7 linked regions of the Oryctolagus cuniculus genome follow. The protein of the gene in region 6 purifies or fractionates together with the protein of the main gene of each other region. This does not show direct contact. Links are inferred from orthologs where the notes say so. Each region holds a gene or a part of one and is shown on either strand. Other genes may lie near its edges. The genes, in order: NBR1, FRAT1, PRUNE1, AXIN1, AXIN2, GSK3A and GSKIP.

Region 1 (4,151 bases), on a different chromosome or scaffold from region 6:
GGTTAAGCCTGCATCCCATATCAAAGTTCTGATTCAGCTCCCTGCTAACATGCCTAGAAAAGCAGTGAATGACAGCCCAAGTACTTGGGTCTCTGCTACCCACATGGGAGACACAGATGGAGTTCTAGGCTCCCAGCTTCAGCCTAGACCAGCCCTGGCCATTGTAGCCATTTCCGGGAGTGAACCAGTGGATGGAAGAGTTTCTCTCTGCAACTCTACCTTTCAAGTAAATAAATAAAATCTTAAAAAAAAAAAAAAAGGACATTACTACAATAAACCAGTCTTCAGGGGTAGCCATTTGGCCTAGCAGTTTACAGTTGCTGGTTATGACACTCACATCCCACACTGAAGTACCTGGATTCAGTTCCAGGCTTTGGCTTCTAATCCAGCTTCCTGCTAATGCAGACTGGGAGGTAAAAGCGATGGCTCAGGTAGTTGGGTACCTGTCACCCATGTAGAAGACCTGGGTTGACGTCCCAGCTCCTGCTTCTACCTAGCTCAGACCCAGCCATTGCAAAGGTTTAGGAATGAACATGTATTTCCCTCAAATAAGTCTTCAGAAGCTTAAAAATACTATTTTTTTTTTCACAGTATAACGAACTACTCTCAAACAATACAACTGAGACTGCCACTTTAAAGACTCTGAAATCTCTGAAGATCGGGATTTCATTTTTATAAACTTACTCAATGATCTCTGCAAATTTTCCCATTCTTTTTCTCCACTTAAATTCACCACAAAGTAATGCCAGACTCGCAGCAATCCTACTGACTTCTAGCAGTCATTCACATGAAATACATCTCTTGGGGTCCTTATGATATGGGTAGAATCCCTGACAATTCCCTGTGACCTTGTGCAAAAAAAAAATCAGAGAAATGAAGTGACTAACTCAGCCTGCCCTAAGTGAATATTCTGAAATATACTTTTAGTTTCCAATGTCAAGAAACACATTCTCATACTTTTGAAAGTCCGGAAGGAAACCAATCTTCCTCCTTCTTGCCCAAATTATCCCATTAGAAATTAGTTCAGATACTTGGCACTCACCCAGCTGGTCTGCCAACGGGGAGCAAACAGGAAGTGGGAGATTCTAGCTTAGCTGGACCACAGCCAGGTCTTCATAAAGAACTGCCTATCTCTTTGGCGTTCATGTGAAAACTCTTTCAAACGAGAGCATAAATCTTGAACTTTGGAAATACTTCAACTCTGGCTCGTTCCGTGGCTCTATAGATGTAGGGCCCGTACAGTCAGGTAGCTGGGGCCCACGCCCTCGGCTTTCATAACTGGTATTATAAGTTCATGTCACTGACTCACCTTAGCTTGGCACAAGTCAGCTTTTCCTCTACGTCGGTTTTTTCTTCTTCTTTTTTTTTTTTTAGCCTCAAAAAAAATCCTTTTAATTAAGCAGACCTGGGACTGCGAGCTTTGATTACTGTCCTATCCGGGCTTTTAGTGTGATATGAAAGCTAGGTGTTTGACAAAAGAGATAAACAGTGCTTTTCCAATACCGAAGTTCCCTAAGGTCTCTGGACGCGGGTCTCAGAAAGGGGACGATGTGATGAGGGGGATGTGTGGGGAGCGTCTTCATCCTGCTCTTCCAGCCCCCCGTCTGCCTCGCACTCCATGTCCCCAACACACTGTCATCGCCCCCTAAGGAGTTACTCCTCTGCCTAGGCCCTCTTTGTACTGGGAGATCCCGACCTCCCGTCGGTACAAGCCAGGCGTTCTGAGCCACGGCCCCTCCATCCCGCCGGCGGCATCGGCTCCCTCGGTCCCTCCGAGCGCGAACGGCTCTCGTCTTGTCACTGAAAAGACTGGCTGCCCCTAGACACGGAAAAAGTCGCCCCTATTTGCAGGGTTCCTCCCCTGAACTTCCCCAAACCCATTCAGTGTGACGTGACCCCACTCCTAGGTAACCGCAGCAGCTTGCTTACCAGCTTCCCGCCCCCGGGGGGCGCCTGCCGGAGGCCAGTGCAAAGACCGTTCGCTGCCAGCTCTGCTGCTCTCCCTGCGGGCAGAATCTAACATGGCGGAGAGAGACAGGGCCTAGTCCCCTGTTTCCTCCGAGTTTCCGACAAGATGATTGGCTCTTACCCTTGTCCCTCAAAACGACCACCCCCCCATTGATTGGTTGAGACTGCCCTGGCGGGGGCGGGGAAGACACAACCTGACCCTCACAACAACAACAAACACCGGGGCCGAGGGGCGGAACTACGAATGCGCAGTCCGAGGCTGGGGCGGGTTACCCCTCCCCAAGCAAACTCCGCGTCCTCCGCCTTCCCTCAGGTCGCTGACCTTAGTGGACACGCGAGGCCTGACGGGAATTGTAGTCTTCCTGGAACTTACAGGTTCTTTAGCGTCCGCTCTTAAGATATAAACACCTAACAGCACTCCAGTCCATAGCTGTCGACGTGCATAACCGCGCGGATGGCTCCAGTCTTTCAACTACGTGTCGCGAGGATCGTGCCCGTTTCCAGAGTCGGGAGCTCTTCTCCATAAGACTACAGTTTCCAAGGAACACTGTGGCGAAGGCCTTTCGTTACGCAATGCATGCTGGAGATCGTAGTTTCTTTCCCCCGACAATCTTTTTATTTACCTAAACGGGGCACGTCCATTGCGGCGGAAAGGGTGAGGGGATGGGCTCTCTTCTTGCGACTGCTGTGAGCACTACCTTGCGCTCATATTCAGGCCTCAGGTAGTGATTCCAACCCTTGTCCAGCAATTACTGTGACGTAATAAGCTGTAACCAGAAGCGTAGAGGCGAGGGGGCGGCCACCTAATAGAAAACTCAGAAGTCTTTCTCCCGTCGCTTTCTAATTACGTCATGCGGGGGTGGGGTGGGGCAAGAGAGGATGGCCAATCCGGAGCTGGGAGGCTCCTGCTCCGCCCTTCCGCTGACGTCCTTTAATCTCGCAAGCTGAGAGGCTATAGCTCCGCGGGAGCGGCGGGTTTCCATGGCGACCGAAAGCGCGGGAATTACAGATAAATTGAAACTGAGACTGCGCGTCGTGAGTTTTCTGCGGCTTTCTGGACCGATTACAGTCGGGGGGCGGTTTCTCAGATAACTGGGCCCTAGGGCCCGGAAAGCCCGGACTCCGATCTGGTTAAAGGTGAGAGAGTCCCTAGGAAATGAAGAGGGAGCCAGGAGGTGGTCAGTTGAGAAACAAACAGCTGTGAGAAGAGTGGTCTCCCGAAGGAGAGCGAGATGGGCATTCCTCGGGCCGGAGGGTGTGGGGGTGAAATCTGAAGGGCCTACGGGCTGTGTGGCTCTGAGATGAATCCTGGGGAGGGGGGCAGTTTGAGTCACCAGGCGGGCACCGAGGATAAGGACAGGCCACGGTGTGTCCGAGGGAATCCGGGTGACCGGATGTGCAGGGGACACCTTGAGCGTAAGAATGCCAGAGGCAGGGACCTGGAAGAAGGCCCAGGATTGTCGGGGAAGAGGAGGAGACAGGATTTTGTGTGAGACAGAACCCTCTGGAATTGGATCCGTAGGCACTTTGGGGAGGGGACGGGAGAGATGTATGCTCCGGGTGCGTTGGTGCTGGAGCAGGTCTGTGGGACGCTCTGGGGAAAGGCAGGGGTGGCGAGTGTTCCTGGTGTAGGTTTTGCTGTGATTGGTGGCAGTGCCTTTGGTTTTAATCAAGAAAATGAAAAAGAAAGAAAAAAGCCAGCCTGGATGGCTGGAGAAAGCTGAGGCTGTCACCACTCACCCCATTGGAAACCTATATGTAAACTGTAGAGAATTCAAACCGTCTAATTACACAAGGCTTCGTGCAGAATTTTTTTTTTTTTTTTTTTTTTTTTTTTTTTTTTTGACAGGCAGAGTGGACAGTGAGAGAGAGAGACAGAGAGAAAGGTCTTCCTTTTGCCGTTGGTTCACCCTCCAATGGCCGCCGCGGCCGGCGCGCTGCGGCCGGCGCACCGCACCGATCCGATGGCAGGAGCCAGGAGCCAGGTGCTTTTCCTGGTCTCCCATGGGGTGCAGGGCCCAAGCACCTGGGCCATCCTCCACTGCACTCCCTGGCCACAGCAGAGGGCTGGCCTGGAAGAGGGGCAACCGGGACAGAATCCGGCGCCCCGACCGGGACTAGAACCCGGTGTGCCGGCGCCGCTAGGCGGAGGATTAGCCTAGTGAGCCGCGGCGCCGGCCCGT
Region 2 (3,112 bases), on a different chromosome or scaffold from region 6:
AGGACAGAGGGTCCCTGCGCCTCTCACCCCACCCTCCCACCTCCAACACCCCCGCCGCCGTCCTCCCGTGGTGTACGGGCTTCCCCGTGCGCTCAGGAAAAGGCGGCCAGCTTGCAAAGAGAAGGCAGAAGAAAAGGCTACTCCCACTCAACCCCAAGAGGGTCCTTTCCCGAGGCCGCGTGGTTTCTGTTAAGAACAGCACCCGGAAAGACACGCGCTGGGTTTGCTAAGTGTCGTACAATCTTCAAGTCCGGCAGGTTGGGGTGCTCCCTGAAACTGCTCATGTCGCCCTCCCCCGACACGGATCGGGAAACAGCCTTGGAAAGGTAAAGCAAGTAACTGCGGTCCTCTACAGTCGTTCCGTGCTCTGCGGGCCCGAGAAGCTTGGGCCGCGGCCACGTGGTCGTGGGCTGCGCGGGTCACCGCCAACTGGGAGTCCTGAGCAGCGCCAGCTGAATTGCAAGCAGATCGGGGCCTTGGACCACCGTCGCCCGCGAAAACACTCGCGATGTCTCGGCTCTCCGTCTACACCAGCTTATTTTCTCTGCTTCAAAAGGAGCGAGCTCTCCACTAGTCTGAGCAGGGATGCAGCCCTCGGAGAGCCCCATGGTCTCCCAGTCGGAGGCCGGCGCTGCGGCCACCCTGGCTGTTAGCTGCCAGGGACGAGAACACCGTCTCCAGTTCTGAGCTGCGCCCTCCTCCGCGGCGCGCCTGGGTCACTGCAGGCCGCGCGGGGGCTTCGGGGCGAGCGGGGCTCCTGTGCCGGGGCGGACAGCGGCCCCGGGAGCTGGCACGGGGGAAGCTTGGGGCGCAACTGCAGCCTTCGCGAATGGAGCCTCCGCACAGCCTCCTTGATGAGGTTTCCCGAGAGCACTAGTTGCTGCAGGAGCCGGTGCGGGTCGTCGTCGCTCGTGCGGGTTTCGGGTTGGGAACCGCGTCGTTGCTGCAGGCGGCGGGAGGAGGCGGCGCCTCGGAGCCATCCTCGCCGGCACGGGCCTGACAACGGCTGCGGGATGCCCTGCTTGCCGGCCCCCGGTGGAACATCAAGGCCGGGCTGAGGGGGCAGCGGAGACAGCACGTTGGAGCCCGCGGCCAGCTCGGCCACGCAGTAGGGCGCAGCCCGCCCTCGCACGCGGCCACGGTCCCCGAGGGCGCAGCGAACAGCACCCGGGGGAGCCGGGCCCACCGCCTCGGCCAACGTGGGCGGCGGCAGCAGCGGCACGCCGGGGGCCCGGGCCTTGTCCGCCCTCACCGCCGCCGGGGGCCGCGGGGGCTGCTGCTGTGGCGGCCCCGGGGGAGCGCACGGGGAGGCCGGGCTGTCCTGCGCCGCGTCCAGCTGCAGCGTCTCGCCGATCTGGGCCACCAGCCGATCCACCTCGCCCGAACCGCCCAGCGTCACCGACTGCTCCAGCAGGAGGAAGCTGCCCTCCTCCTCCTCCTCCTCCTCCTCTTCTTCTTCCTCCCCCTCCGCTTCCTCGCCGGCTTCCTCTTCCTCCTCCCTCCCGCACGGCATGGCCTTCGGCCCGGGCACCCGGAGCTCGGCGGGCGTCGCTTGGCGGCTGGGCGGACCGCGGATTGGGTGGGCCGCGGTTGATCCCGGCGTGGGGCTAAGGCCGGAGCCGGGGTCTGGGCCGGGACCGGGGCGGACGCAAAAGCCGGGCCCGGCTGGCGCTCGCGCAGCCAGCCTGCAGCAGCGAAGCCGGAATGCTGCCGGCTCGGGTTGATTTGTAAACAATGGGTGACGTCGCGCCGGGCCCTACCACCGCGCCGGGTGGGGGGAGCCATGCCCCGGGAGGACAGGCTGCTGCCGGCCTGGGGTCCGGAGGAAAGCCTCGCCGCGTCTGCGCGTGGGTCTCTGAGCGCGGCGTGTGGGGGCGCACAGGGGAGCTGCTCCACGCTCCCTCCACCCGGCGTGGCTGGCGTCCGCAGAGGAAGGACACCGGCGTGCGCCCTGTTGGTTGCTCCCACACACAAGCGCAGACACTTACACACACACCTACACACGTCCTCCGCTCCGCACGTCCCCGCGCCTGCTCGCAGCGTTTGCGCTTTTGAGGTCGGGGTGCCGGTGTCTGGCGAGATTGGCGGGGATGGAGAGAGGGAGGGGAGCCCTGTAGTGCGATGGGGCTGGCGGAGTTGGGAAAGGTAAAGAAAGCAGGGCCACAGACCGACGTTTCTCAGCTGGGAGCCTGGGGGTTTGGGGCCTGCACCGGGGGCTGGGACTGCTGGAGACCTGGCGGTTGCTGCTCTTGAAAGGGGCTGTGAGCTGCAAAGACTTTTTTTTTTCTTCCTTTTTTCTAGATTTATTTATTTATTTGAAAGGCAGAGTTACAAAGAGGCAGAGAGAGAGAGATCATTCTTCCATCTGCTCTTCATTCTTCCATCCACTCTTTCACTCTCCAAATGGCCGCTGAGCTGATCCTAAGCCAGGAGCCAGGAGCTTCCTCCGGGTCTCCAATGTGGGTGCAGAGGTCCAAGCTCCTGCGCCATCCTCTACTGCTTTCCCAGGCCATAGCAGAGAGCTGGATCTGAAGAGGAGCAGCCGGGACTCGAACCTGTGCCCATATGGGATACGTGCGCCACAAGCAGAGTATTAACCTACTGCTCCACAGGGTCGACCCTGCACAAAGTTTTAAGGAAGGCCTCAGCCCAGCAGAGGAGGAGGTGCTCCCAAGTGTAGCGGGAGAGGAAAATGGTGAGTGGTTTGCATGAACATAAAATAGTGGCCATTTCTTTTCTTTTTTTTTTTTTTATTTTTTGACAGGCAGAGTTAGACAGTGAGAGAGAGAGACAGATAGAAAGGTCTTCCTTCCGTTGGTTCACCTCCCAAATGGCCACTACGGCTGGTGCGCTGTGCTGATCTGAAGGCAGGAGCCAGGTGCTTCCTCCTGGTCTCCCATGCGGGTGCAGGGCCCAAGGACCTGGGCCATCCTCCACTGCCTTCCCGGGCCACAAGCAGAGAGCTGGCCTGGAAGAGGGGCAACCGGGACAGAATCCGGTGCCCCGACTGGGACTAGAACCCGAGGTGCCAGCACCACAGGTGGAGGATTAGCCTGGTGAGCCACAGTGCCTGCCAATAGCGGCCATTTCAATGCTTTAGTATATTATGGTT
Region 3 (3,500 bases), on a different chromosome or scaffold from region 6:
TTCTCTTTATTATGTTTTTTATTTGTTAATTATTTTTTTTTTAAGATTTATTTATTTGAAAGGCACAGTTACAGAGAGGCATAGGTAGAGAGAGAGAGAGAAAGTCTTCCATCCACTGGTTCACTCCCCATATGGCTGCAATGGCTGGAGCTGCACCAATCCAAAGCTAGGAGCCGGGAGCTTCTTCCAGGTCTCCCATGTGGGTGCAGGGGCCCAAGGACTTGGGCCATCCTCCACTGCTTTCCCAGGCCATAGCAGAGAGCTGGATCGGAAGTTGGAGTTGCTGGGACTAGAACCAGTACCCATATGGGATGCCAGCACTGCAGACGGTGGCTTTACCTGCTATGCCACAGTGCTGGCCCCTAATTATTTTCAAAACATTTATTTATTTATTTGAAAGGCAGAGAGAGAGAGATATCTTCCATCTACTGGTTCACTCCCTAAATGACTGCAACAATAAGGTCTTGGCCAGGCTGCAACAGCCAGTCTGGGGGCCAGCATTGTGGTATAGCGGTAAAGCTGCCACCTGCAATGCCACCATCCCATATGGGTGTTGGTTCGAGTCCCAGCTGCTTCACTTCTGACCTAGTTCCCTGCTAATGCACCTGGGAAAGCAGCAGAGGATGGCCCAGGTGCTTGGGCCCCTGCACCAACATGGGAGACCAGGAGGAAGCTTCTGGTTCCTGGCTTCAGATCGGTTCAGCTCTGGCCATCGTGGCCATTTGGGGAGTGGACCAGCAGATGCAGGATCTCTCTCTCTCTCCTCTCTTTCTCTGTAATGCTGCCTTTCACATAAATAAAATAAATCTTTAAAAAAATACAAAAAATAAAAATAAAAACAATCAATCTTGGCCAGGCCAGAGTCAGGAGCCAGAAAATCTATCCTGGTCTCTGACATGAGCTGGATTGGAAGCAGAGCAGCCAGGACTCAGATCAGCACTCTGATATGAGATACTGGTGTTGTAAGTGGGTAGTTTAAACTGCTACACCACAACACCCACCCTTTTTGAAAAATATATTTTTAAAAAGATTTATTGGGGTCGGCCCTGTGGCATAGTAGGCTAAGCCTCCACCTGTGGCTCTGTAATCCCATGTGGGCACCGGTTCATGTCCCAGCTGCTCCTCTTCCAATCTAGCTCTCTCCTGTGGCCTAGGAAAGCAGTGGAAGATGACCCAAGTCCTTGGGCCCCTGTAGCCACGGGGGAGACCCAGAAGAAGCTCCTGGCTCCTGGCTTCGGATCCACGCAGCCCCGGCCCTTGTGGCCAACTGGGGAGTGAACCAGCAGATGGAAGACCTACCTATCTCTGCCTCTCTCTCTTTCTGCCTCTGCCTCTGCCTCTCCCTGTAACTCTACCTCTCAAATATAAATAAAATCTTTTTAATAAAAAAGAGATTGATTTATTTATTTGAAAGCAGAGTTGCAGAGAGATATCTTCCATCCACTGGTTCACTCCCCAATTGATTGCAAGGGCCAGGGTGGGCCACACTGAAGCCAGGAGCTTCCTCTGGGTCTCCCACATGGGTGCAGGGGCCCAAGTTCTTGAGCCATCCTCTGCTGCCCTCCCAGGAGCACCATCAGAGAACTGGATTGTAAGTGGAGCAGTTGGGACTCATCAGTGCCCACTTGTCACAGCGCTTGCCCCTGAAAACTATTTATTTGAAATGCAGAGCAATAGACCTAGGTACTTTGTTTTAGCAGCATTGCATAACTAGCTAAACCAGAAGGAAACTTTTTTTAGTTAATTTGAGAGAGAGAGCAAGAGAGAGAGAGAGAGCAAGAGAGAGAGAGAGAGCATGCGAGAGCGCTCCCATCTGCTGATTCACTCCCTAAATGTCCAAAATGGCCAGAGCTGGGCCAGGCTGTAGCCAGGAGTCAGGAATTCAATCCAGGTCTCCATCTCCCATGTGGGTGGCAGGAACCAATGACTTGAGCCATCACTGCTGCCCCCTACAGCCTGGATTAGCAAGGCACTGAGTCAGGAGCCAGAGCTAGGTGTTGAGCCTACATACTGATAGGGAATGTAGGCATCATAACTGGCAGCTTAACCATGAGGCCAAATGCTTACCCTAGAACACATTTTAATGCCAGCTCTGCCAGGAAATAGTTGTATGGCTTTGAGCAAATTTCTTAGCCTTTCTTTTGCCATTTTCTCCATTTTAAAAACAAGTTACAGTTGGAATAGACTTTCTTCCAGATGGTAAGATTCTTTGGTAGACTTTGGCCTATTGAAGAGTTGTCATCTCTCTCTGACTAGGTTGTGAAATCCACAAGGATTGAGACGCTCAGACTTCCTTTCCACCTTTCTCCCTTTCCCCAGCTCCGTTTTATTTTGGATATGGAAGGTCTTACTCAGAACAAAGACCATCGCACTTTCTTGTTTTGTTTTCAGTGAGTTTGCCATGCAAGTCTCCTCTGTATTTTGTCAGTGTGGTTTGAAGGGTATGTGTGTATGTGTGTGTGTTTTAAGATTTATTTATTTATTTGAGAGGCAGAGCTACAGACAGAGAGAGGGAGAGACAGAAAAAAAGGTCTTCCATCCACTGGTTCAGTCCCCAAATGGCCACAACAGCCAGAGCCAGGCTGATCCGGAGCCAGGAGCCAAGAGCTTCTTCTGGGTCTCCCAGGAAGGTGCAGGGGCCCAAGCACTTGAGCCATCTTCTGATGTTTTCCCAGGTCATAGCAGAGCGCTGGATTGGAAGAGGAGCACCCGGACTAGAACCAGCACCCACATGGGATGCCTGCACTGCAGATGGATGCTTAGCCCATTACGCCACAGTGCCAGCCCTGGTTACGTGTGTTCTAGTGGCTGTGAGTGGAGGATCTTAGGATTTGACTTCTTCCCTCTCTGTCTGCACAGGAACCATCATCCTGGACTGTGTCAACATGGACCCTAAAATTGGAAAGGCAACCCTAAAGGACAACCAATATGTAGAGAAACTGGAGGCCCTCTTCCCAGATCTGCCCAAGAGAGATGACATCTTTGATTCCCTCCAAAAGGCAAAGTTTGATGTGTCAGGTAGGAAGTGGCACAGTGACTTCCCTACCTCCTGCATGAGAAGACAAGTAGGCAAGCCTTGCTCATTGTAGTCTTTTTTTTTTTTTTTTTTGAAGATTTATTTATTTATTTATTTGAAAGTCAGAATTACACACAGAGAGAAGGAGAGGCAAAGAGAGAGAGAGAGGTCTTCCACCTGCTGGTTCACTCCCCAATTGGCTGCAATGGTAAGAGCTATGCCAATCCAAAGCCAGGAGCTTCTTCCAGGTCTCTCAAATGGGTGCAGGGGTCCAAGCACTTGGGCCATCTTCTACTGCTTTCCCAGGCCATAGCAGAGAGCTGGATCAGAAGTGGAGCAGCCAGGACTCGAACTGGTACCCATATGGGATGCTGGCACTGCAGGTGGTGGCTTCACCCACTACACCACAGCACCACAGTGCCACAGCGCCACAGCGCCAGCTCCTATAAATGCATTTTCCATCATCTCTCTGCTTCATGTCCTC
Region 4 (3,500 bases), on a different chromosome or scaffold from region 6:
GGTCCGCATGACCCGCTGCACGTGCTCGTCCAGGATGCTCTCGGGGTTCTCCTCGTGTGCGTCCCGCAGCCCGGCGCAGCCCAGGTCCACACAGCGGGCCGGGAAGTGGTGCCAGGCTGGGGCAGGAGGCAACTTGTGGCTCGCCCCTGGGGGCCCAGGGGGAAGGTCACCATCCTCTCCTTCTTCCTCCTGCGTGGGGCGAGGCAGCAAGTCACACGGGGGGTGGACAGGATGGCCCCGGCACAGTGCGTCCTGGAGGCCAGGGCCCCCAACACGTGCTGGCTCTGCAGAGGCAGCGGCTGGGCTGGGACCGAGCGCCACACCAGAGGGCTCCAGGGCTCCCCGTCCCGACTGATCCCTGCTCCCATGATGCTGGGCTGCTGGCCAGGAGCAGGCAGACTGGAGCAGGGTGAGCACGGGGCCCCTGGAGCGCAGAGGGCACATGCAGTCATGGCACTGAAGGCTCTCCATCGATTTTCTTGTTTCTTTTTTGTTATTGTTGTTGTTAAAGATTTTATTTATTTAAAAGGCAGAATTACAGAGAGAGAGAGGGAGAGGGAGATTCATTGATTGACTTCCCCAATTGCCCAACGGCCAGGTCTGGCCAGGCTAAATCCAGGAGCTACATGCAGGTCTCCCACGTGGTAGAGAGGCCCAGGCACTTAAGTCCTCCTCCGCTCCTTCCCAGGCCACAGCAGAGAGCTGGATCAGAAGTGGAGCAGCCGGGACTCGAACCGGCGCCCAGTGGGACGCCAGAGTCGCGGGCTCTAGCTTAACCCACTGCACACAATACCGACATCTCTATGTTCTTCTACGTTCGCAGCAAAGACTGCGTTTCCTTCCAATTCCTCTATTCCTGTTTGCCAAGAGAATCCTGCCCCTGCACACAGAGCTGACTCAATGCTCGCACTCGGCGGGCACACTTCTGCATCTGTTACCAGGCGTGGAAATGCACACGGTTTGGTCACACCTCAGGGTGGGTGCTGCGTGCAGTGGCACAGGTTACGCTGCGTCCCACACCCGAGTGACAGTTCAAATGCCAGCTACACTGCTCCTGACCCGCGTGCGGGCAGCACGTGGAAGACCATGTACTCCGTCTCTCCGGCTGCGCCTCTTCCTTTCAAAATAAACCAACCTTTTTAAGGTGCTGACTGAATCTGGAATCAATCAAAAAGGAAGGTGGAGCCTACGTCATCCCCTGGGTTTTATTTACCCATTTATTTTTTTTTTAATTAATTAATTTATTTGAAAGTCAGAGTTAGAGAAGGAGAGGCAGAGAGACAGAGACAGAGACAGAGACAGAGAGAGAGAGAGAGAGAGAGAGAGAGAGACAGAGAGAGAGAGAGAGAGGCCTTCCATCTGCTAGGTCATTCCCCAGATGGCTGCAACACCCGGAGCTGTGCCAATCCAAAGCCAGGAGCCAGGAGCCTCTTCCAGGTCTCCCACGTGGGTGCAGGGGCCCAAGCACCTGGGTCATCCTCCACTGCTTTCCCAGGCCACAGCAGAGAGTGGGATCGGAAGAGCAGCAGCCAGAACTCGAACCGGCACCCACATGGGATGCCGGCGCTTCCGGCAGGGGCTTTAACCCGCTGAGCCACAGCACAGGTCCCTTACCCATTTATTTTTAAACATTTATTTATTTATTTGCTTTATTCAAAAGGCAGAGCAAGAGAGAGAGAGAAGGGTGGGGAGACGCAAAACAATCCTCCACCTGCTGGCTACTCCCCAGGTGCCCCAGCGTCACACCTACTCAGGTCGCCCGTGCAGGTGGCAGGCCCCGACCACCTGAGCCAGCACTGCTCCCAGGGGCCCACCAGCAGGAAGTGGAGTGGAGGGCAGAGCTGGGGCTCAAACCCAGGTGCTCCAATGTGGGATGCAAGTGTCCACGCCCTGTTCTGAATGCTTTATTTATTTGAAAGGCAGAGTGACAGAAGAGAGAGAGACAGAGAGATCTTCTATTTGCTGGTTCACCCCAAGATGCCTGCAGAGCCAGGCCAAGGCCAGGAGCCAGGCCCTCCGTCTGGGTCTCTCCTATGGGTGGCAGGCCGAAACACTCAGGTCGCCATCTGCTGCCTCGACAGCAGCACTAGTAGGGAGCAGACGGGAGGCCAAGCAGCTGGCACCGACTGGCACTCGCTACGGGGTGCTGCATCACGCGCATCTAGCCCACTGACCCAATGGGGGCTGGCCCAAAAGGACATAAATGTCTTTTAAAAATATATTTATTTCAGAGGCAGAGCTACAGAGACAGACAGACAGACAGGAATTCCATCTGCTGGTTCACTCCCCAAATGGCCTCAACGGCTACAGCTGGGCCAATCCGAAGCCAGGAGCCAGGCAGGCGCTTCTTCCAGTCTCCCACATGGGTGCAGGGGCCCAAGGACTTGGGCCATCTTCTACTGCTCTCCCAGGCCACAGCAGAGAGCCGGATTGCAAGTGGAGCAGCCAGGACACCGGCACCCATATGGGATGCTGGTGCCCCCGGCGGAGGCTTAGCCCACCACACCACAGCAGCAGCCTGGATTCAACCATCTTCACTCTAGGACAAGACACTCCCTTCACCCTTGGATTTTAGTATAAGCAGACCTCAGATATCCTAAATTTCTCACAAGTGCAAAGCAAGACAAGACAGCAAGGTCTGTCAACTACAAGATCTTCAGCTGGTGCCGGGGAAGCACCAGCAGGGCAGACTGGGGCCCCGGCGGACTCCGCCTGCCTCCTGCTCCCGTTCAGGGACTTTGGGAGAGTCTTTGTCGAGGGTCCTCCCAGAGTTTTCGCCCTGTATGCTGCGCAGGTGCAGTGAGGAAGGAGACCCCCCCACACACAGGGGGCGACGGGCAGGGCTGATGCCTCGGCAGCACGGCAGTGCAAAGACCGCCGTTCACTGTAGGCTCCGGGCATCCAGCCTCACGCAGTTACTTCCCAACGTTGACTCTTGTTCTGGGGGTGGCATCGTGGTGCAGGACGTTATGGCCCTGCCTGGGACACTGCACAACGCCACAACGCCAGCACATGGGCACTGAGTCAGAGTCCCAGCTGCCCCATGAATGGCCTGGGGAAGTGGTGGAGGACGCCTAAGTGCGTGGGCCTGCACACAGGGGGAGACCTGGACAGAAACCTGGCTCCCGGCTTTCGCCTGGCCCAGTCCTGGCTGTTGAGGCCGTCTGGGGAGTGAAGCAGTGGATGGAAGACCTCTCTCTCTGTCTCTCCCTCTCTCTGCTTCTCCTTCTAACTCAAATAAGTAAATATTTTTTTAAAAACACCTGAGTTTCTTTGAAAAAAGGATCACTACTTGTAACAGATGTAAACAGAGTCACATGTTGTAACAAACAGCAGCTACGCTCAAGTTCAGCTAACGTGTCCCCGGCCAGTGTCCGTGGCACCCACCTGCACAGTGGAGGTGGGCTGGCCCAGGGCGTCTGGCCAGGTAGCTGCTGTCTTCCCTGCAGCTGGACACAGAGCCACCCATCCAGTCGCAGGCAGAGACTCCCCAAAATGAG
Region 5 (3,500 bases), on a different chromosome or scaffold from region 6:
TACCGGGCAGTGGAGACACTCACTCTTCGGGGGCCAGGCTGGGGTTGGAGAAGGGCGTGGCTCCTGCCTGACCAGCGGCCAAGTGGTTCCTGTCCCTCTGCTGATTGGCCACACAGCACCTGAGGACACAGCCAGGGGGAGGGCTTTAGAGGTGTGGCCACCCCCAGGGTTACAGGGGACACGGACACACACACACACACACACACACACACACACTCTCTTTGGCCTCAGGAAGAGAAACGGACCCAACCTCCATCCCTGTGAAGACCCAGTAAGGCCTTGTGTTCGTTGGGGCTACAGGAGGCCTGGATGACACTTGGGGACAGCTGCTGCAAGCCCCCTGGGCACCCTGCACAGGACATCCTCAGCCCACGCCAAGGGCTAAAGACTCCTGCATCTCCCCAGCCAGTTTCCCACACGCTCAGCTAAGCAGCCCCCAGGGACCGAGAGGTTTTATAAGGAATGGGGTGTGTAAGGAATTATTCAAGTGTATGCTCCTGAATCCGGGTTCAAGTCAGGCACAGCAGTGGGACCCACGCCCAGAGGCTGCAGGGCGAATCTTAGTCGGCCAGAAGCAACGCCTGCTTCCAGGAGGGCCTGAGACCCAGGCAGGAAAGAAGGGTGCCCCCTTCCCCTCCAATCCCGCGCGGACCCCCTCTCTCCCACTCACCGCTGCTTGGGGGGCTTCGACACCTCAGCCAGCCTGCGGCAGGCCTCCTCCAGCTGTGCCAGCGTGTTGGGTGGGGTCAGGGGGGGCACTGCAGGGTCTTGGGTAAAGGGGTGGGCACGGGGGGCGGTGCGGGGGTGCCCGCTGCTCCCCCACAGATGGTGCCGGCTGACCCGTTCGCCCGGGGACCCGCGAGCAGACTCCATGGGCGAGGCCTTTTTTGTGCTCTGGGCACTGAACAAACGATGCAGAGAGAGAAAGTAGAAGGGAAGAAATTGGGTTAGAAAAACTGGAAAATGTGACTTCAATAGAAACTTGTCTATTCTGCTCAGAGAGAGAGAGAGAGGCAGAAGAAAAAAATAACTCTACCATAACACGAACGGGAGTGGCTGCCAAAACATGACATTTTTGCGGTCTGCCCAAGTCCAACGTTTAATATTAAGATGGCAGGAGCAAACAGTCGCACTTGTTTTCAGCCAACTGTGAAAACAGCCATCCCCGAGACCCCCGCGCGTGCGTGTCCGTGACCGGGGGCGGCAGCGTCTACCTGTGGGGCTTGGGCTTGCTCTGTCGCTCACTCTCCAGCATCCACTGCCACACATCCTGCGACCTGTCTCCTTCTTCTCCAGGCAGCTGCAGGGCCCCAGCGCCGCCGGGGGCCCCTCCTTCCCTAGCGGGCAGGGCCAGGCCAGGCTCCGTGCCTTTCCCACTTCGTTTGGGCAAGGTACTGCCTCTGCTTCCACTGCAGGAAACCAAGACCCACACCCAACCCAGAGACCCTCATTACTTCCCCTGATTCCTCCAATGGGACAACCGCACGAGCAGGGGCCGGGAACGCGACAGACCCATGCACCTGCACCCCCTCCCCCGGCGCTAAACGCCTGTGGCCGCGGACCCCGCCTCACCCCTGCCCAGGCCTCTGGCCGGGAGAACAGCTCCACGCGGGCTGCCGCAGACCGCCTGGCACTTACCCAAACTGCTCTCCTGGCACGGGCTCCGGAGCCTTGGGGTGGCTCTTGCACTTGCAGTAGCAGTAATACTCGGAGCACAAACAGCGCACCCTCTGCGTGGCCTCGGCCTCGAGCTCCTCCTTGGTCTTGGGGCCGGCGTGGTGGTGGATGTAGTGGTGGTGGACGTGCTTCGTGGTCTGCTTGCTCACAAAGCCCTTGCCCCCGAGCAGTGGGCAGGCCGGGGCGGCGGCCGCGGGGGGCAGCTTGCCCCCCGGCGGGAGGAGGGGGTGGTAGGGCTGGTGGTGGTGATGGTGGTGGTCAGGCGAGCGGGAGCGGGGGCTGGCGCGGCCCACGCCGGGCGACTGGCAGCCGGGGGTCTTGAGGACCCTGGACAGGTGGTCGTCCAGGATCGTCTGCGGGTCCTCCTCGTAGCCGCCGGAGGGCAGCAGGGACAAGGGGTGCTGGGCGGGCGCGCCTTCCCGCGCGCTCAGCGGCGGCTCGGAGCCTTCCTTCTCCTCGTCCTGGAACGGGATGGCGCAGAGGGGCCGTGTGGGCAGGCACGCACGGGATGGACGCACGCACGCACGGGATGGACGCACGCACGCACGCACAGCGCTGGAGGGCCACCGCGCGGGCCTACCTCGCGCATCTGCTGCAGCCGCTCCTCCAGGCTGTGGCGGCTCTCCAGCTCCAGCTTCAGCTTCTCCAGCCTGGCGATGAGCTCGGCCGCGAAGGCGGCGGGTTCCACGGGCGTCATCTCCTTGGGCAGGCGGTGGGTTCTCTGCGGGGCGCGGGGAGGCACAGGGACGGGGCGCGCTTAGCAGGCCGGAGCTGCCGGAACCCGCGCGCCCGTGCCGGGGCGGAGAGCGGCTGGCGCGGCGGCCGGGGCTGTCGGGGTTTTTATGCGGCGGCGCCGCGGCCTCATGGAGAGCCATGGTCCCCACCAGCGTTTGCCTTGGGCAGGAGCAGTTGGTCGCACTCCGAGAGGCCCTGCTTGTTCCCTCTGTAGTACAACCAGCCCATCAGTAGCTACTCTGAAGTAGACAATCTTCAAAGACTGTTGTCAGACATCAAAAAAAAAAAAAAAAAAAAAAAAAAAAAGCAGCCCTCTGAGATGGGGAGGGGAGCGAGAGCAACTCAAGGAATAGAAAGTAGCGTCTAAACAGAAGGGGAGTTGGAAATTAAAGAAAGTAAGATTGCAAAGGAGGTGGGGGCGGGGGGAATAGGAAAAAAAAAAAAAAAAGAGAGAGTGTCGGCAGGCCCGGATCAGAGAAGCAGCGGTAATTCGTTCCTGGCCGCACACTGCGCACCTCTGAGGTGCTGTTGTCTCCACACTGGCCTCGGCCTCCCTCGCCTTCCTCCTCCCCTCCTCCCCTCCTCCCCATCTCTTTGTACGGAAAATGAAGAGAGCTGCTGCAGGCTAGTAGCAGACCACTGCTGCGCTCGGCCGCCTGAAGTTGAGCCATCAAGGGAACAGGGAACATCTCCAAATCAAGTGCGGAATATAAAGAGGCCCCGCGATCGCATCGCCTGCCAACTGCAGCACGCGGGGCGGACCCCCGCCGCCGCCTCTCTGTCATCTCCCGCCCCGCCCCCCTCCCGGCGGCTCGCCTCCTTCCTCCTCATCTCCCGCCCGCTTCGCCCTTTTCTGGGGGCCGGGGGGTGGAGAGAACGCCAGCCCCAGCAGAAGAGGGGCCTCGCCCGGGCAACCGCTTAGCTGCAGAACCAGCCCGAGGGGGCAGAGAGAGCCCCCTCCCCACCCCCAGCAGGAGGTGGCCGGTTCTCACACAGGCTGGCTTTGCGCGCTGATGGGGAGAAAGTCAATTTGCACACCCCAGGACAAAATCCTCGAATTTACAAGCTTGGAAAATAATAGCGTTTCT
Region 6 (3,300 bases):
TCACCCTTTCCAGGCCGTTGCTTCTCAGCATCCTCAAGATGGACCAGATGGGTGCTGTGTAAAACGGCATGAAGGCCCGCGGATGTTGGGGTTCTGGCCCGGCCTGAGACCACGAGCAGGCTGCATTGTGGCCGGGTGACCCCTCATCATTCTGTGTCTCCTTGCACCCTGGAGCAGCAGGCAGCTCAGGCTGACACAGCTCTTGCTTCAAGTCCTGACTACCAGTGTGCTCTTCGGCCTTGACCTCCCACCCCCAGTTCTCAGTGTGCACTGGGTGCTGACCCCTCCCCTAAGCCAAAACAGATGCTTTATGCTCTTGGGGGCGGACCTCTCCCAGGCCCCTACCATGGATCCGTGCAGAGGAGAAAGCGAAGGCACAGGACAGTCAGGCACCTCGGCCCCCCACCCTCCCCTCCTGAGACACAGCACATGCTTGTCCCAGAACAGCGCACAGGTACCCCCTCACCTCAGTGAAAGGCGCAGCCAGACAGGAAGCCAGGTTTTCATGCCAATAATTTATTGAACGGAGGTCTGTACACAGGCAAACCTTACTGTGGAAACTAAGACATCAGGAGCCCTCCCCGCTCCCCTGGCCCTCCAGGGTGTGGAGAGGAGGGAGCAGACGCTGGGGCAGAGGACAGGAGGGGACATACGGCTGTAGGAGGGGAGGGGCCAAGTTGGATGGTGCGAATCGACGTTTTCTTTAAGAAAAAAATTATAACAATCTATTTACACCCGGGGGCCAGGGAAGGGGAGAGGAGACGGGCTGGGCTGGTTCTATTTACAAGGGACACAGGAGGGGCAGGGGCTGGAGGAGGTGGAGGCCTGGGGAGGGGGCCAAGGGGGCAGAGGTCCTCATACCCCCACACCCCTGTCCTTCCTTCTCTTCCCTCCCCACGACCAGTTAAAATCCTCTTAAAAAGCCACCCCAGGGTCGAGGCTGCCGAGGGAGGGACTGGAGGTGGCAACAGGGACTCATTTACCTCTGCCCTCTAGTCTCAGGGCCCAGCCAGGGCAGGAGCTCGATGGGCTATGGCCCCCTTCCCAGCCCCACTTGGGGCTCCCAGATGGAAGTGGAAAGGTGGCTGGAGGGGCCCTCAGGACGAGTTAGAGAGGGTAGGTGTGGCTTCGGACGACTGCCAGTCTGAGCCGGTCTGAGCCTCGGTTAAAGCTGAAGGGGGGAGGGAAGGAGCAGACAATTAGCGTTGGCCTTCCAGGGCCCCTCCCACCAAAAGTGGCTACACGGACCGGAACGCTGCCACCTCGGGGCCGGGCCGTCTGAGGACTGAACGGTGGCAGCGGGACTCCATCGGGAGGAAAGGCAGGCCCAGAGCCACCCACTATGATTTGCTTCCCCAACAAAATACAGGCAATCTGGATTCGTACACAAAATGGCCCAGTTTTTAACTCTGAGCGACAAGTTCGACAAATTCAACTTTCTGTACTTCTGTGGCTTTGCAGTCAGCACACAGCACACCCAGAAAGGTGGCCATTGCCAGCTCTGAGACGCGCTCGGCACCGTCGGAACTCTGGCTCAGAGACAGCTACGGGGAGCTGTGGCACTGTGGGCACCGCTTACCCCTCAGCAGCCGGTCCCAGCTTACCTTGTGAGGACTGGGAGAGAGGGGTGGAGCCCGCCGGGGACCTCAAGTGAGGAGGGATGAGGATGGCATTGAGAGATGGCTGGATGGAGAGTTCTAGAGACAGGAATCGACACGCCCAGTCAGGGTGGAAGCAGCCATCTGGAGACCATGCAGGGTTACGATGGGATCCCTACTGGGCACCCAGCTCTTGGCAGGGCCAGTTCGTGGACACTCAGCCACTGAACTCTAAGCAGCACACTCAGCGGAAGGGAACTGAGGCCATCTTCCCAGAGCCCCGGCTTGCGCTGCACCCTCACGCAGCTCGCCGGTCGTGTTTTCAACACCCAGCTCTTCTCCCCCAACCTCTGCTGTCCCCCCACGGTTCCCCACCCCCTGCTGCACCCTCACCGGCAGGACTGAAGTTGAAGAGAGGGGGGAGCGGGCGGTTGTTGGGGAGCTGGGTTCCGAGACATCGCAGTTCATCGAAGAAGCTGTGGGCGCAGGCCTCTAGCGGGGAGAGCCGTGAGGACGGCGTGTACTCCAGCAGGCTGGAGCAGAGCGCGATGGCCTCAGGCGGCGTTCGAGATTTGAACACCTGGGGCGAGGGGGCAGGGGGCGCGGGGCCACAGGTGAGCGCTGCCACAGGCACTGGCACCCCTGTGCCTCACTGCCACTGTTCTCGGCAGACCTGACGACGAGCTCCCCGAGCCCATCTCCCAGTGAGGAAGTCGGGGAAGTCTGTCTGTATCGGGTGAGCAAGCTGGCCCCGGCACCGAGACACTGAGCCCTGCTGTGAGCCTGTCACCCACCAAGAAAAGGGGAACCTTGGAATGTACTTGTGCGTCCTCAACTTTTAAAATTCTACCTACTCTGAAATCATGGGAGCGGCTGACCCCTCCCAGGATAACTTCGCACCCCCCCTCCCGAGCTATGATTCTGAGGCCAGTAGGCCAAAGGGGACCCACCCTTCTGCCAGGCTGCCCAGGTCCCCAGCCCTGCCCCACCTTTGTCCAGGGATGAGCTTTAATCTGGGGGAACTTGAACTCTGTGTAGTTGGGGTTCATCTCTCGGATTTGTTCCCGGGTTGGTGTTCCCAGCACCTGCAGGAAGAAGACGGGGACTGAGGCCTGGCCCCATCCCTCAGCCCCACCCGCTGCCTACCCTGGCACCATCCTCACCTTGATAATCTCCACGAGCTGGTCCACCCCACTGTCCCCAGGGAAGATGGGCTGGCCGAGGAGGAGCTCAGCCAGCACGCAGCCAGCTGACCACACATCTGCGGGGAGTGGGTAAGGGTCAGAGCTCGGCGAGCAGGGCTGCTGCGCCCATCCCCTGACAAAGGCTTCCATCCCTCAGGCCACCAGAGAGAGGCCAGGAGCCCCATTCGCTCAGCTCGGCAGAGATGAGGCATCCGGCCCAAGGTAACACGTTTCAGGAGCCCTGGGCACGACCTTGAGCCTCCAGATCCGTGCAGCTTCTCTGCACCTCCAGTCGGCTTGGTCCCAGCCCTCACTGCCTCTGCTCACCAAACCCAGCCAGCCCTCTCTCTGCGCTGTTAGCCTGCAGACACCGAGGCCCACACCTGCCCGTGGCACCTTTGTTCTCCAGGCCAGAGATCCCTGCCTTCCTCACCTGCCGCCCAGGGGAGGAGCTGTAACCCGGCACTCTCACCCCTCCCTAGTACCTTGACCCTCAGGGCGCAAGGTCATACCTAAGA
Region 7 (4,014 bases), on a different chromosome or scaffold from region 6:
TGATGTATAGCTTCTACTCTGTCACTTTAAACTCTTCAATATAATTCTTAAAAAGCTGACAAAATGTGGTTGGGTAATTAATTATTCTCATCTACCTCAATCAATGTCAGGTGTTAATATTTTGTGCTAGGTACTCTGTCTTCCATAAACACAAACATAGCACTGTGTCTGGGGATGAGTTTGTGTCCTGTTTGGGCTACAGGGATAATAATGACTGGTCCCAAACCTTAACATTTATCTTAGGGCTAGCGTTGTGGCACAGAGTTATGCCACAGTCTGCAACACTGGCATTCCATATGAGTGCTGGTTTGAGTACCAGCTGCTCCACTTCTTACCAGCTCCCTGCTAATGTACATGGGAGAGCAGCAAAGATGGCCCAAGCACTTGGGCCCCTGCCACCCACGTGGGAGACCCACATGGAGTTCCAGCCTCCTGGCTTCTGTCTGACCCAGCCCTAAGCATTTCAGCCATTTGGGGAGTCAACCAGCTGGTGAAAGATCTCTCTCTGTATCTCCCTAACACTGCCCTTCAAATAAATAAAGAAAATTAAAAAAAAATTATGTTGAAATTCTCCTGAAAAGCATAAAATGCACAAGGAAGCATTTAACACTTTAAATGGAAAAAACCTTCAATTTTAATTTTCCTTTCTGATAAGTGAAATTGCAAGCATCCGTTGACAGTCTGAATGTATTCTACATTGCTAAAGAAACCATGTATTTAAGTCATCGGAAGTAAGTCCAAATCATATTGCTAGGTCAGAAGCCCAGTTCAAAGCTCTCAAGGCCTATTCTACTGCCCTCTCAGATGAGAGCCCAATTTTCATTTTATTATTTATTTATCTGAAAGGCAGAGAGAGAGAGAGTGAGTGAGCGAGAGAGAGGTTTTCCATCCACTGGTTCACTCCTCAAATGGCCACAACAGCTGGGGCCAGGCCAGGCACTTCTTCCAGGTCTCCCATGTGAGTGCAGGGGCCCAGTCCTCCGCTGCCTTCCCAGGTGCCTTAGCAGGGAGCTGGACTGGAAGTGGAGCAGCAGCACCCAATGGGCTGCCTGCTGTACCACAAGGCAGGCCCCCACCTTTGACTTTTCATATCATTTTCTTTATTCTGCTTTTAGGGAGCCTATTTGCTTCAACAAATATCCAGAACCTAACTGCTTCTAACAGGTTTCACTGCTACCACTCTGGTCCAAGCCACCGTCATCTTTCGCCTGCATTACTGCAACACCGTCCTAACTGGTCTCGCTCTGTTCACCTTGGACCCGCCCACCCCCACGCCAGCCTATTCTCAACACCGCAGTTAGCAGGATCCTGCAAACTGAGGCCAGAGGATGTCACTCCTCTCCTCAACCCTCCCATTCAGCCAGAGTGAGAGCCAAAGGCCCAGAACCCTGCAAGACTTCCCGTCCCTCCTCCCAGTCTCTTCTTCCTATTTTACTCACGATTCCCCTTCAACCATCACGCTCGCTCCTCCCCCGTGTGGGGAGACCAACTCTCCAAACACCTGTGCACCTTGCATTCTCCACGTCTCTGCCAAATGTCACCTAGTTGGAGAACACCTTCTCTCACCGTCCGAGGCAAGACAGGCAAACCTCTCGCCTCTGCCCCGCCCGCTGTCTTTCCCTGCCACAGCGCTCACCGCCCCATGGCACGCTGTTACCTATTTCCCCTCCCTTCAACAAAGGGCTCCATGAGAGCAGAGACTTCGCTGTCCCACCGTGGTGTCCCCGGCACTTGGCGCGCAGCCAGTAAACGTTTCCTACTGAGTGAACCCCCGCCCCCCCCATCCACACTTTAGAACCGCAGCTCCCGGGACGCTCTGATCTTCGCACACGGAACTGCACCGACTTCCACTCTCTGGACCCCCGGTAAGCGCTTCCCCACGAACGCGGCGCCAGGGAAGGGTCGCTACTGAGGACACTCGGGCTGAGTCTACAACAGGGAGGGGCACCGAGGACCCCGGGGGCCGCACGGTCCCCACGCGGAGAAGCCAGCGTGGACGGGAACGCAACCTCTCCCCATCCGCCAACGCTTCGGGGCTCTGTTAGTGCTTCCAAGGCTTTCGCGAAACAGTTACCGAGACGGTCAGCACTGTCCTCAGCCCCGCGAATTCACTACCCCACGGCAGGTGCACGGGTGTCAGGGCTTCACGTCCGCTCACCTTCCTAACGATCATCCTCGGACTAAGACACGTTAATACCCTCCCCCTTGCGAAGGAGGCTCGGCGAGCCCGGGGCCGAGCGGTCGCAGGCGCGCACCAGGGCCACGACGCCGACCCGGGACCCCAGCGCGGGTCCCCGGCGGTCAGCGGGCCCTGCCGTCGACCCGAGGCGGCAGTTCTGGCCGCAGATGCTCCAACTCCCGAGTTTCCCGGTCGCTGGTGCCACACGCCCCGGAGGAGCTCGGCGCGCCGCCGGCCGCCGGCCGGCTCCGGGAACAATACCTGAGGAGGCGGGGGCGGACCCTCGGCGCCCAGCGGGCGGGCGCGGAGGCCCGAGGGGCGCCCCGGTCCTCCCCAGCCAGACAGCGGCGCTCCGAGCCGCCGCGCCCGGGGCCCCCGACGACCCGGGCCCGCCCGACCCCTCTCGGCCTGCCGGCCCCGCAGCTCGGGCCTGCCGCGCCGCAGCCCCCGTCCGGGCGGCCCCACGGCCCGCCCGTTCCCCTGAGTCCCCCGCCGCCGCCGCCGCCCGCTCACCTGCGCTCGCCCGCCTTCTCCTCTTCCTCCCTCGGGAGGCCGCCGGAGCCGGCCCGCGGCACCGCCCCCTCGGAGCCGGAACTGCTCCGGCCCCGGCTCTTCTTCCCGCCTCCCTCGGCCCCCAGTGTGGCGTCACTTCCGCCTGCGCCCGGCCGCGCGCGTGCGCGTGAGGCGCCTTGGGCTCTCGCGAACGCGCCGGGAGCGTCCCCAGGCTCGGGAGCGCGCTTCGTGGATGACAACAAATTCGTCGCGCGGCTGCCGAGGAGGTGTCAGCCGCCTCCTGTCGCGCGCTCCCGTGTCCGGGCCGAGGAGGATCCCCTCGGGAGTCCCTGCCCCGGACGCCGGGGCCGCCTCTGCGCCGGGTCCTTGCCGGGCCTGCGACCGGTGTCCGGCGCGGGCGATGCCGTCGGCCTGAGGGCGCCCGGCGGTGAGCGGGCATGAAGGGGCCGCGCCGGGCTTAGGCCCCGCCGCGGCCCGGGGACGCCGGCCGGGCCCCGGAGCGCCTTCGCGGCCGGAGCCGGAGCCTGGGCCCCGCCGCCGCCGCCCTCAGCCGCCGCCATGCCGTGGCCGTTTTCCGAGTCCATCAAGAAGAGGGCCTGTCGGTACCTCCTGCAGAGGTACCTGGGCCACTTCCTGCAGGAGAAGCTGAGCCTGGAGCAGCTCAGCCTGGACCTGTACCAGGGCACCGGGTCCCTCGCCCAGGTCCCCTTGGACAAATGGGTAAGAGCTGCGGGCGGCGGGCCCCGCGCCCCTCCTCGGTGCCGTCCCCCCGGGATTTGGGGACCCGCGTGTGGCCGGCCCCGGAGAAACGTGTTTTGAGTGCTGGACATCACGTGTTCCAGAAACCGAGCGGACAGATGGGAGCCTGCGCTGGGGGAGTGCTTGAGTTAGGGCGGGCGGCGGGGGCGGTCTGGGCCGCGGATCGGGGGTCCCACGGCCAGCAGACCCCGTGTCGCGGCGTAGCGTTCCGGAAAGGCGAGGGGGACCCGTGGGATGCCGAGGCCCCCGGGCACGCCGCGTCCGGCCCGGGGGACAGCGGGGGAGGCCTCGTCCGCCGGCTTGCACGCCTTTGTACCAGGCTATGTTTACACGGACAGTGTGCGTGCCTTTTGGCTTCACGTGACAGATCGTAAGAGCAGGTGTTGCAAAAGCGCTGAGGCTGCACTTTTCAGACATTTTAAAGCCGGTTCTCCACTGGTCGTCGGAGGCCGAGTTGACTCATTGTGTCTTGCGGGTGCTTGGTGTGTGTTTGCACGCGCCCAAGCGCTGGCCTGCGTCCCTGCGTCCGGGGCACGGTGTCTGACCGTGCTCACCGGCTGGTT

What was found.
Region 1: the proteins of GSK3A (region 6) and NBR1 purify together in Homo sapiens (affinity purification with western blotting; 3 studies listed by BioGRID and IntAct, with this or other methods). This does not show direct contact. The link is inferred for Oryctolagus cuniculus from reciprocal best matches to the Homo sapiens genes GSK3A and NBR1.
Region 2: the proteins of GSK3A (region 6) and FRAT1 purify together in Homo sapiens (affinity purification with mass spectrometry; 4 studies listed by BioGRID and IntAct, with this or other methods). This does not show direct contact. The link is inferred for Oryctolagus cuniculus from reciprocal best matches to the Homo sapiens genes GSK3A and FRAT1.
Region 3: the proteins of GSK3A (region 6) and PRUNE1 purify together in Homo sapiens (affinity purification with mass spectrometry; 3 studies listed by BioGRID and IntAct, with this or other methods). This does not show direct contact. The link is inferred for Oryctolagus cuniculus from reciprocal best matches to the Homo sapiens genes GSK3A and PRUNE1.
Region 4: the proteins of GSK3A (region 6) and AXIN1 purify together in Homo sapiens (affinity purification with mass spectrometry; 12 studies listed by BioGRID and IntAct, with this or other methods). This does not show direct contact. The link is inferred for Oryctolagus cuniculus from reciprocal best matches to the Homo sapiens genes GSK3A and AXIN1.
Region 5: the proteins of GSK3A (region 6) and AXIN2 purify together in Homo sapiens (affinity purification with mass spectrometry; 3 studies listed by BioGRID and IntAct, with this or other methods). This does not show direct contact. The link is inferred for Oryctolagus cuniculus from reciprocal best matches to the Homo sapiens genes GSK3A and AXIN2.
Region 7: the proteins of GSK3A (region 6) and GSKIP purify together in Homo sapiens (affinity purification with mass spectrometry; 7 studies listed by BioGRID and IntAct, with this or other methods). This does not show direct contact. The link is inferred for Oryctolagus cuniculus from reciprocal best matches to the Homo sapiens genes GSK3A and GSKIP.

Annotation. Positions count from the first base shown.
Region 1 is NC_091448.1:19,834,569-19,838,719, forward strand, and holds the start of NBR1 (next to BRCA1 gene 1 protein), read right to left. Parts: upstream 2,801-4,151; 5' UTR 2,342-2,800; exon of another isoform or gene 2,291-2,341; intron 2,017-2,290; exon of another isoform or gene 1,930-2,016; intron 1,462-1,929; exon of another isoform or gene 1,310-1,461; intron 849-1,309; exon of another isoform or gene 685-848; intron 1-684. UniProt on the Homo sapiens protein: Ubiquitin-binding autophagy adapter that participates in different processes including host defense or intracellular homeostasis.
Region 2 is NC_091446.1:32,500,198-32,503,309, forward strand, and holds FRAT1 (proto-oncogene FRAT1), read right to left. Parts: upstream 1,736-3,112; 5' UTR 1,514-1,735; coding exon 650-1,513; 3' UTR 501-649; downstream 1-500. UniProt on the Homo sapiens protein: Positively regulates the Wnt signaling pathway by stabilizing beta-catenin through the association with GSK-3. May play a role in tumor progression and collaborate with PIM1 and MYC in lymphomagenesis.
Region 3 is NC_091438.1:47,070,256-47,073,755, reverse strand, and holds part of PRUNE1 (exopolyphosphatase PRUNE1), read left to right. Parts: intron 1-2,859; coding exon 2,860-3,018; intron 3,019-3,500. UniProt on the Homo sapiens protein: Phosphodiesterase (PDE) that has higher activity toward cAMP than cGMP, as substrate. Plays a role in cell proliferation, migration and differentiation, and acts as a negative regulator of NME1. Plays a role in the regulation of neurogenesis.
Region 4 is NC_091450.1:34,335,523-34,339,022, reverse strand, and holds part of AXIN1 (axin-1), read right to left. Parts: intron 190-3,500; coding exon 1-189. UniProt on the Homo sapiens protein: Component of the beta-catenin destruction complex required for regulating CTNNB1 levels through phosphorylation and ubiquitination, and modulating Wnt-signaling.
Region 5 is NC_091448.1:11,836,925-11,840,424, forward strand, and holds part of AXIN2 (axin-2), read right to left. Parts: intron 2,399-3,500; coding exon 2,258-2,398; intron 2,139-2,257; coding exon 1,639-2,138; intron 1,410-1,638; coding exon 1,215-1,409; intron 902-1,214; coding exon 671-901; intron 120-670; coding exon 24-119; intron 1-23. UniProt on the Homo sapiens protein: Inhibitor of the Wnt signaling pathway. Down-regulates beta-catenin. Probably facilitate the phosphorylation of beta-catenin and APC by GSK3B.
Region 6 is NC_091449.1:12,815,199-12,818,498, forward strand, and holds the end of GSK3A (glycogen synthase kinase-3 alpha), read right to left. Parts: intron 2,860-3,300; coding exon 2,762-2,859; intron 2,684-2,761; coding exon 2,588-2,683; intron 2,179-2,587; coding exon 1,992-2,178; intron 1,698-1,991; coding exon 1,605-1,697; intron 1,172-1,604; coding exon 1,098-1,171; 3' UTR 501-1,097; downstream 1-500. UniProt on the Homo sapiens protein: Constitutively active protein kinase that acts as a negative regulator in the hormonal control of glucose homeostasis, Wnt signaling and regulation of transcription factors and microtubules, by phosphorylating and inactivating glycogen synthase (GYS1 or GYS2), CTNNB1/beta-catenin, APC and AXIN1.
Region 7 is NC_091451.1:40,752,754-40,756,767, reverse strand, and holds the start of GSKIP (GSK3B-interacting protein), read right to left. Parts: upstream 2,801-4,014; 5' UTR 2,693-2,800; intron 1,542-2,692; exon of another isoform or gene 1,517-1,541; coding exon of another isoform or gene 1,440-1,516; intron 1-1,439. Other genes in the region: ATG2B (autophagy-related protein 2 homolog B), read left to right, coding at 3,251-3,412. UniProt on the Homo sapiens protein: A-kinase anchoring protein for GSK3B and PKA that regulates or facilitates their kinase activity towards their targets.